Linked DNA regions of Macaca fascicularis. The main gene of each other region encodes a partner of the protein of the gene in region 2 in a complex. Links are inferred from orthologs where the notes say so. Each region holds a gene or a part of one and is shown on either strand. Other genes may lie near its edges. The genes, in order: VEGFB and FLT1.

Evidence for each region.
Region 1: the proteins of FLT1 (region 2) and VEGFB are in contact, whole or in part, in a crystal structure (PDB 2XAC), measured with the Homo sapiens proteins. The link is inferred for Macaca fascicularis from reciprocal best matches to the Homo sapiens genes FLT1 and VEGFB. Residues at the interface, in NP_002010.2 of Homo sapiens: Tyr139, Glu141, Pro143, Phe172, Pro173, Tyr199, Ile202, Gly203, Leu204, Asn219, Leu221, Arg224, Thr226; in NP_003368.1 of Homo sapiens: Ser37, Trp38, Ile39, Tyr42, Thr43, Thr46, Cys47, Gln48, Pro83, Asp84, Asp85, Gly86, Leu87, Cys124, Arg125, Pro126.

Annotation. Positions count from the first base shown.
Region 1 is NC_088388.1:10,159,726-10,163,960, forward strand, and holds the start of VEGFB (vascular endothelial growth factor B), read right to left. Parts: upstream 3,008-4,235; 5' UTR 2,749-3,007; coding exon 2,689-2,748; intron 2,421-2,688; exon of another isoform or gene 2,261-2,420; intron 2,106-2,260; coding exon 2,063-2,105; intron 1,744-2,062; coding exon 1,547-1,743; intron 1,231-1,546; coding exon 1,157-1,230; intron 648-1,156; coding exon 612-647; intron 415-611; coding exon 201-414; coding exon of another isoform or gene 179-200; intron 1-178. Other genes in the region: DNAJC4 (dnaJ homolog subfamily C member 4), read right to left, coding at 3,222-3,696. UniProt on the Homo sapiens protein: Growth factor for endothelial cells. VEGF-B167 binds heparin and neuropilin-1 whereas the binding to neuropilin-1 of VEGF-B186 is regulated by proteolysis.
Region 2 is NC_088391.1:8,249,127-8,252,928, reverse strand, and holds part of FLT1 (vascular endothelial growth factor receptor 1), read left to right. Parts: intron 1-2,515; coding exon 2,516-2,672; intron 2,673-3,103; coding exon 3,104-3,201; intron 3,202-3,802. UniProt on the Homo sapiens protein: Tyrosine-protein kinase that acts as a cell-surface receptor for VEGFA, VEGFB and PGF, and plays an essential role in the development of embryonic vasculature, the regulation of angiogenesis, cell survival, cell migration, macrophage function, chemotaxis, and cancer cell invasion.

The DNA.
Region 1 (4,235 bases), on a different chromosome or scaffold from region 2:
ATGTTGGACTTGCTTACATAGCTCCAGGTGCCAGCAGCTGCTTGGTAAATATTTGTTCAACACATTCAACAGTTTCCCCTTCCCTGGCCCTCCTCCTACTGGCAGGCTCACCCTGGACCTGCTCCAGGACAGGACCTTGGTGTCTTCCCAAACAAACACCACCCTACAGACACCTCACCTGCAGGTGTCTGGGTTGAGCTCTAAGCCCCGCCCTTGGCAACGGAGGAAACTGCGGCGTCGACAGTGGCAGCGGCAGGTCCGGGGGTCAGGGCGCTGGTGGCGCTGGGTGCAGCGTGGGCAGAGGGTCCTGGGGCTGGAGTGGGATGGGTGATGTCAGCTGGGGAGGGTGCTCCGGGGGCAGAGTCCCAGCCCGGAACAGAGCGGGGCTGGGGACGGTGGTGGGGAGTGGCAGCCCTAGGGAGGAGAAGCGACATGTCTGGGGTGGGAAGGAAGAGTCTTCCCTGGAGCTGGGGTCGGGACAGAGAACACAGGCTTGGGGAGCAGAGGAAAAGGGAAAGCGGGGGACAGGTGGGAAGAGAAAGAGGGGCAACAGCTTCCGGACTCACTTGTACTCCCCCTGCCCCCACTCAGCTGGAGTCCAAAAGACTCACCTGTCCGGCTTCACAGCACTGTCCTTTTTTTTAGGTCTGAAAAATTAAGAGAGATAGACACAAAGAGGAGGAAGATCAGGAAATCCCAGCATCCTACTCTCTCTCTCTCTTTTTGAGACTGAGTTTCCCTATTCTTGCCCAGGCTGGAGTGCAGTGGCATGGTCTCAGCTCACTGCAACCTCCGCCTCCTGGGTTCAAGCTATTCTTCTGTCTCAGCCTCCCAAGTAGCTCGGATTACAGGCATCCGCCACCACACCCAGCTAATTTTTGTTTTTGTTTTTTTTTTTAGTAGAGACGGGGTTTCACCATCTTGGCCAGGCTGGTCTTGAACTCCTTACCTCAGATGATCTGCCCACCTGGGCCTCCCAAAGTGCTGGGATTATAGGTGTGAGCCACTGACCCAACCATCCTACTTTGTTGCCCCAGATCCAAGGCCTACCCTTGGCTCTACTCTTAGGAACCTGGTCCCCAGTTCTGTGGACCACCATACCCAGCACCCCCCCAGCCTGGCCTCTGTAAGCTCAGAATTTGGGCCTGGCTGGCACCTGCATTCACACTGGCTGTGTTCTTCCAGGGACATCTCCCCCAGCTGACTGCTCGGGTACCGGATCATGAGGATCTGTGCTCAGGAGAAGAACAGGGGGGACAGTGAGGGAGAGAGAGAAAGGGGATGCTCTAAGGCTGGAGGGAGAAAAGCTCACCCAACAGCCAGGAGGCTGGCCACCAGCCCTCCCCCCAACCCTACCTCCTGTGCCTCAGTCTCCAGGCTGCCCCAACCCCAGAGCCAGCCAGCATCCACCCTGCCCACTGCCCCACCTGCCCAGTACCTGCATCCCCTGCCCGCTGCCCCACCTGCCCAGTGCCTGCATCCCCTGCCCACTGCCCCACCTGCCCAGTACCTGCATCCCCTGCCCACTGCCCCATATGCCCAGTACCTGCATCCGGACTTGGTGCTGCCCAGTGGGCACACACTCCAGGCCATCATCAGGGCAGCAGCCACCACAACGCTGCACAGTCACACAGCTGGGCACCAGCTGTTTGGCCACGGTGCCCATGAGCTCCACAGTCAGGGGCACCACCACCTCCCGGGGCTGGCAGGTAGCGCGAGTATACACATCTATCCATGACACCACTGGGAGCAGACCGGTAGGGGTTAAGTCCTCACTGTTTTTCCTGCAGCTGCTCCCAGCAGCTGTCCCCCCCAGTCCCCAAGTCACAGCCACCCTCCAGTAGCCCTCCCCACTCTGCCCTCACAACCTGTCTTCCCCTGCCCTGTTTATCCAGATCCCAGTAACCCCGCTGCCTCAATTTCCTCCTCTGTGAAATGGGTAGAATAACAGTTTGCATATTCTAGGGGAGTTATACAAGATGACGGACACCAGGCACCTGGAATCAGGGCCAATGACAAACCCTCTCAGTGCTGGCTAGTGCCGAGTTTTTATGAGTATTACCTTTCTTCTGGTGGCCAGGAGCATCAGGCTGGGAGACAGGGGCCTGTGGGAGAGAAAAGACCTGTACCCAAGGTACCCTTTAGGAGGGTCTTTCCCTGTCGCCATCCCTGGGGCTTTGCCCTTGCATCAGGAGGCTTCACCACCTCTCTGACATCTTTCCAGATTGCTCTGTTCCTGTGGCCACTGCTCTAGCTTTACCTGTCCTTTCCTGGCCACCCCGGACCTGCCCTGGCCCAAAACACAACAGGTGCTCCGGCGGCCTCATCAAATCTCCAGGCCGCAGAACCGAGCATGTCTGGGGGCTGCATGCAGATCAGGAGCGCGCACAGTGGGCACCGAAGCAGGTCCTGCGAGCACTGAGGGAGCCCCGCCCCCGGCGGTGCCCAGGGGACGGGGTGGGGCGGAGGAGTGGCCCCAGACTGGGGCTGGCGGGCCAGCGGGGAGGGGCACCTCCCAGGGGATGCACGCGCCGGGCCCCGAGACGCCCGCGTCCAAGGCCGGACCCCGCAGATCCCCCCGGCCGAGGCCGCGGGTCGCCTCCTCACTTCCGCCAACCTTGAGAGAGGGCACGGCGGGCTGGCGGGCTGGCGGGCGGGCTGGCGGGCGCGCTGTCGGGCCGCACGTACCTGGGCGGGGGCCAGCTGCAGGAGCGCGGCGAGCAGCAGGCGGCGGAGCAGGGGGCTCATGGTGCCCGCGGGGGCCGCCCGCCGGGGACGCCCGCATCGCCCTAGCCCGGCGGGGCGGGGGGCGGCGGCAGCCAGAGCCCCATGGCGCGGGCCCGGGCGCGGCGGGCGGGGGCCGGGCGCGGTGGGCGGCTCCTCCGCGGCCCCCTCCCGAGCCCTGGGTGCAGGCAGTGCAGCGCAGAGCAGCGGAGGCGGCCGGAGGAGCCGGGAGGGCGGGCGGCCGGTGGCGGCGGGCGGCGGCGGCGGGGACGGCGGGGGCGGCGGGGGGCCGGGCCCGGGCTGGCGGGCGGGCGGCTCATGTGACCCAGACACGCGCTCCCCACCGGGCCGTGGGGCGGGGGCGGGGCGGCGGGGCGGGGGGGCGAGGCCGCCGGCGGGACCCGCCTCCTCCACACACCCCCCCTCCCCCCTCCCGCCGCTGCAGGGGAAAGGGGACGCACCGCCCAGGGGGCCGGGCTCCCGGGTCGCGGCAGTCACTACCCAGAGGGCGGGGCGCTGCCCCTCGGCGAAGCCGGGGCAGGGGGCGCCGGGCCTGAAGGAGGGAGCCGCACACTAGCTCTGCGAATCACTTTATTGCACGCGTTTTGGGAAGCGGGCAGTCCAGGGAAGGAAGCAAGGCGGGAACGCACTGCAGGCCCTATCCAGGTGAGCCCCTCAGGGGCCGGCGCCCGGGGGCACGATCTCGGGGACTTGGGTTGGCTCCGGTGGTGGCGGCTGCTGCTGCCTTTGCTGTTGTCGCTCCTGCTGAAGGCTGGCTCTGTTGGCCCTGGAGGAGAGGGCACCTGGGTGGTTGGGATAGGGATCCCGAAGTGTGGTGCCGGGACAGGGAGCAGGGGGCAGAATAGAGCAGGGACAGACCTGGCCCGCGCCCGCTCCCGCGCTTCATTGTGCATGGCTGTGATGATCCGATCCTTTTCATCCATGAAGTTAAGGTGCATCTGCTTCACCTTCCTGCAATGTGTCACAATTAACCCTGGGACTCGAATTCCTGTTGTCCCTGAAGTCCTGCCCCCTTCCACCCCACTCTAGGGGCCTCACAGCTTTTTAACCCACACAGGGTTAGGGACCTCAGCCTAACCCTGCCTGTGATAGGTAGGGAGGGCTCAGAGTGGCCCTGGCTTGTCTAGGGTCCAATGGCATCCGAAGTCCCTGGCCACTTCGAGGTGTTACAGCAGCTGTGGACATGGGGGTGCTCCTCCCAGAAGACTAGAAAGGGTATGCATCTAACTCCATCACTGAACTAGGCAGGCTGCTAGCAGTGGGCACTGGCCTTTAGGTATTTGCTATAGAAAATCGGCTTCGTGGCTAGGCGCGGTGGCTCACGCCAGTAATCCCTCTACTTTGGGAGGTCGAGGCGCATGGATCATATGAGGTCAGGAGTTTGAGACCAGCCTGGCCAATATGGTGAAGCCCCATCTCTACTAAAAATACAAAACAATTAGCCAGGAGTGGTGGTGGACGCCTGTAGTCCCAGCTACTTGGGAGGCTGA
Region 2 (3,802 bases):
AAGGGATCTTTGTGATCAGTTGTTTCATACTCGCAGGCTGTAGATATGCTCAGAGAAGTCAAGTGATTGGCTTAAGGATTCACACCTACCATGAGGTGAAGTCAGAAGGAGAAAGAACTCAGCTGTCTTGACTCCTCCTCCACTGCCTTTTCTGTGCACCACACTAAATAAGGTGAAAAAAGTATAAGAAAAAGTGGAAAGTGGTGCCTTGGGCTGAGGGCAGTACAAATTCCCCTTAGTCCTGAAATTTTGGACTGACTTCAGGAAGAGCTAAGCCAGCAGAATACCCTAGGGACCTGGGCAGGATGGAACGTTTGGGTTTGTGCGTCCTTTGTTTTGAAGAGTTTGCTTCCTTCTCTGGCTATATTTAATGATTTGCCTCCCTGTGCAACTTGGTGGAGCTTAGTGTTTTTGTGGAAAATCCATGGCTGTCTTTCATATTTGGAAGATAAAGGTAAAGGAAAGACAAAACCAAAAGGCTAAATTGCAAATGGAATACTTCATTTTCCAAATAAATTAACTGGGATCCTTAAATATGGTTTGTAATAAATTCACTATATTCTGCCAGAGTCCCAAGAGTTCAGTAAATTACGTTTATTTAACAAAAGTGGTACTGATAAGCAGAGCTGAATATACCATTGATGGGGAGTCAGGAAGGGAGTGAGGGAGCCTGAGTTTTGGCCCTTGGGGACGTGCCTAGGCTGTGACTTCTGGGTGCCTTGGGGACGAAGGCTGCCCAGGGAGAGTTTTCACACGCAGAGCCCTGAGTGAGCATGTGGAGCATTTTTCTCCCCACACTATTGCCAGCGCTTTGTCTGATGCCTTCTGTCCCACAAAAGATCTTGTGAAAAATAAAATTCCAGTCCCCAAATGAACAGAATCCAATATAACTGCATTGTGGAAACACAATAACAAATAGTGAAAGTCTACCTGCCCTCAGGTGGGCTACCTGCGATGGCAGTGGGTATTTACTCTGAGGCCTGCCTCCCTCTGCAACCCTGGAAGGTCTCTTTTCAGGGACTGGGAACCTTGGTGCCCTTTTGGCTTTTAGGCTAGGTTAGGGCTGTCCCTCCGGAAGCTTTCTCCCTGTGCTCTGCTTGCTCCCACTGTGCCCTCTAGTGGAGGGATCGCTCTTGCTTTGTGACATTTCTAGAAAAGCCCAGGAAGGATGGGGGAGGCGGGCTAATCCTAGCACTGCCATACCATGCAAATAGATCAAGGGACACCACTGAACCCCAGTCCCTCTCTGCCTCTGCCTCTGCCTCAGTATTGCTGTCTAGCAGAATCTAAGTTAGGAACATGGTCTAATTATAAAGCCACTGAAAGTGCTAGGTTTTTAGAGTGTCATAGTTACTAGATGAATTACAAAAGGCAATAAAAATCTTTTCTGGTTTCCCATGAACACCCAGAACCGACAACTCCTTTCCTATGAATCATAAAATAATAGCATAATAGAGCTTTTCAGAAGAGGATAATGAAACTCAGAAAAGTAAGGTGACTTGCCCAGGATCACATGATTAATGGAAGAGCCAGATGAACCGGGGCTTGAATGCGCAGTCCAGGGTGAAAGGCCATTACTACCCTTGTTAGAATCAACTCGTATCTTTGTTTTGAATGGAAGAGAAAAAAAGCAATGTCCATGTTCCCTCCTTCCCCAAGGAAACCTGGGAAATTGGTAACTATAGCCTTCTCTTATGACTCCTCCTAGGGGTTACAGAGTGAAGCACCAAGCACACTGGGGATCCTTTCCTCTCAGTGATGTCATCCTTCACAAGATGGCATGTGGCATGGAAGAGTGGTTAAGGGCACAGACGTGGGCACCGACCAATCCTGGGTTTAAGCTTTTTTTTGAGCTGGAGTTTTGCTCTCATGGCCAGGCTGGAGTGCAATGGCGTGATCTCGGCTCACTGCAGCCTCCACCTCCTGGGTGCAAGCAACTCTCCTGCCTCAGCCTCCTGAGTATCTGGGATTATAGGCATGCACCACCATGCCCAGCTAATTTTGTATTTTTAGTAGAGACAGGATTTCTCCATATTGGTCAGGCTGGTCTCAAACTCCCGTCCTCAGGTGGTCTGCCTGGCTCGGCCTCCCAAAGTGCTGGGATTACAGGCATGAGCCACTGCACCCGGCCAGCTTTGCTCTTTATTAGCTGCATGTGAATTTGATTACTTTACTTCTCTGAACCTGTTTTGGAAACATTAAACAAGAAATGTACCTAAAGCTTTTAATATACCGGCTCACACAGAGCAAGCATTCAGTAAATACCCACCACTATTAATTTTTTTTTATCTGATCTAAGATGCTGTCTAGAAGCCCAGGCAAGAGCACAACAGACTCTGCAACCCCAGAGGTAGTCAGGCTCCTGGACACTGTAGGGCCTCTGCGCTAGTTCACGATCCATTATGAGAAGTGAAATGCTCTCATTTCTCATCAGGCAATTGCCAGTTGAGGGACTGGTTTCCCACTGCTGTGCTGGAGCTCCTTTTTACCTGGGTCCTTTTTGGTCTCTTCAAAGGATGCAGCATTACACATGGAGCCTAAGAAAGAAAAAATGGAGCCAGGCCTGGAACAAGGCAAGAAACCAAGACTAGATAGTGTCACCAGCAGCGAGAGCTTTGCGAGCTCCGGGTTTCAGGAAGATAAAAGTCTGAGTGATGTTGAGGAAGAGGAGGGTAGGTATTAATTCCTTCCTGTCCAACGCGCTGAGATATTTTTACAACATACTGTGCATCTCTGAAATTTTTTTCTTATTTATCACTCTAATAAACATCCGTGGGAGACTCGAATGGTAATGTCCTGAGGAGATAAGATTTGAATTAAGATTATTTACAGAGTTACTAATTTTGACAGGGAACTGTACCGTTTTCTCCCCTCAGGCATTTTCATCCTAATGGATCATCCCCCTGCCCCCATGCTTGGATAAAATGGGCTGGAGGCCTGGAAAAAATCTCTGGTGTTCATGTTGAAACTCAAATACTCTTAAAAATGAACTCTGGTCTACTTGTTGGTTTGTTTTATGTTTTGCTAACATTGTTCCAATAAACTGGGATTTGATGGGATAACAAGAGCCATTACAAACAGTTACGGTTCTAATGCTTTCCAGATTCTGATGGTTTCTACAAGGAGCCCATCACTATGGAAGATCTGATTTCTTACAGTTTTCAAGTGGCCAGAGGCATGGAGTTCCTGTCTTCCAGAAAGGTCAGTCTTGCTGTTCACTGTTTTTCCTTCTTTGCCAGGGTTGGACGCACACCTTTGCTATAAATTCATTTTTCCTAGTATTTGCTGATACCTGTGTTCTTTTTTTTTTTTTTTTTTTTTTTGAGACTGAGTCTGGCTCTGTCGCCCAGGCTGGAGTGCAGTGGCCGGATCTCAGCTCACTGCAAGCTCCGCCTCCCGGGTTTACGCCATTCTCCTGCCTCAGCCTCCGGAGTAGCTGGGACCACAGGCGCCCGCCACCTCGCCCGGCTAGTTTTTTTTTTTTTTTTGTATTTTTTAGTAGAGACGGGGTTTCACCGTGTTAGTCAGGATGGTCTCGATCTCCTGACCTTGTGATCCGCCCGTCTCAGCCTCCCAAAGTGCTGGGATTACAGGCTTGAGCCACCGTGCCCGGCTTACCTGTGTTCTTAAATGTAGAACAAACACCACTGCAAGTACCTTAATTTGCCCTGATATGAGGAGTTTTGAGAATGAGGAGTCGTGGATACCGATGGATAGAACTTAATTCTGGGGAAAACTCACAGGTGTCAGACTAGACGAATCTGGTATCTGCTCTCCACAGTGCCCTCTGGCGTATTTTCAA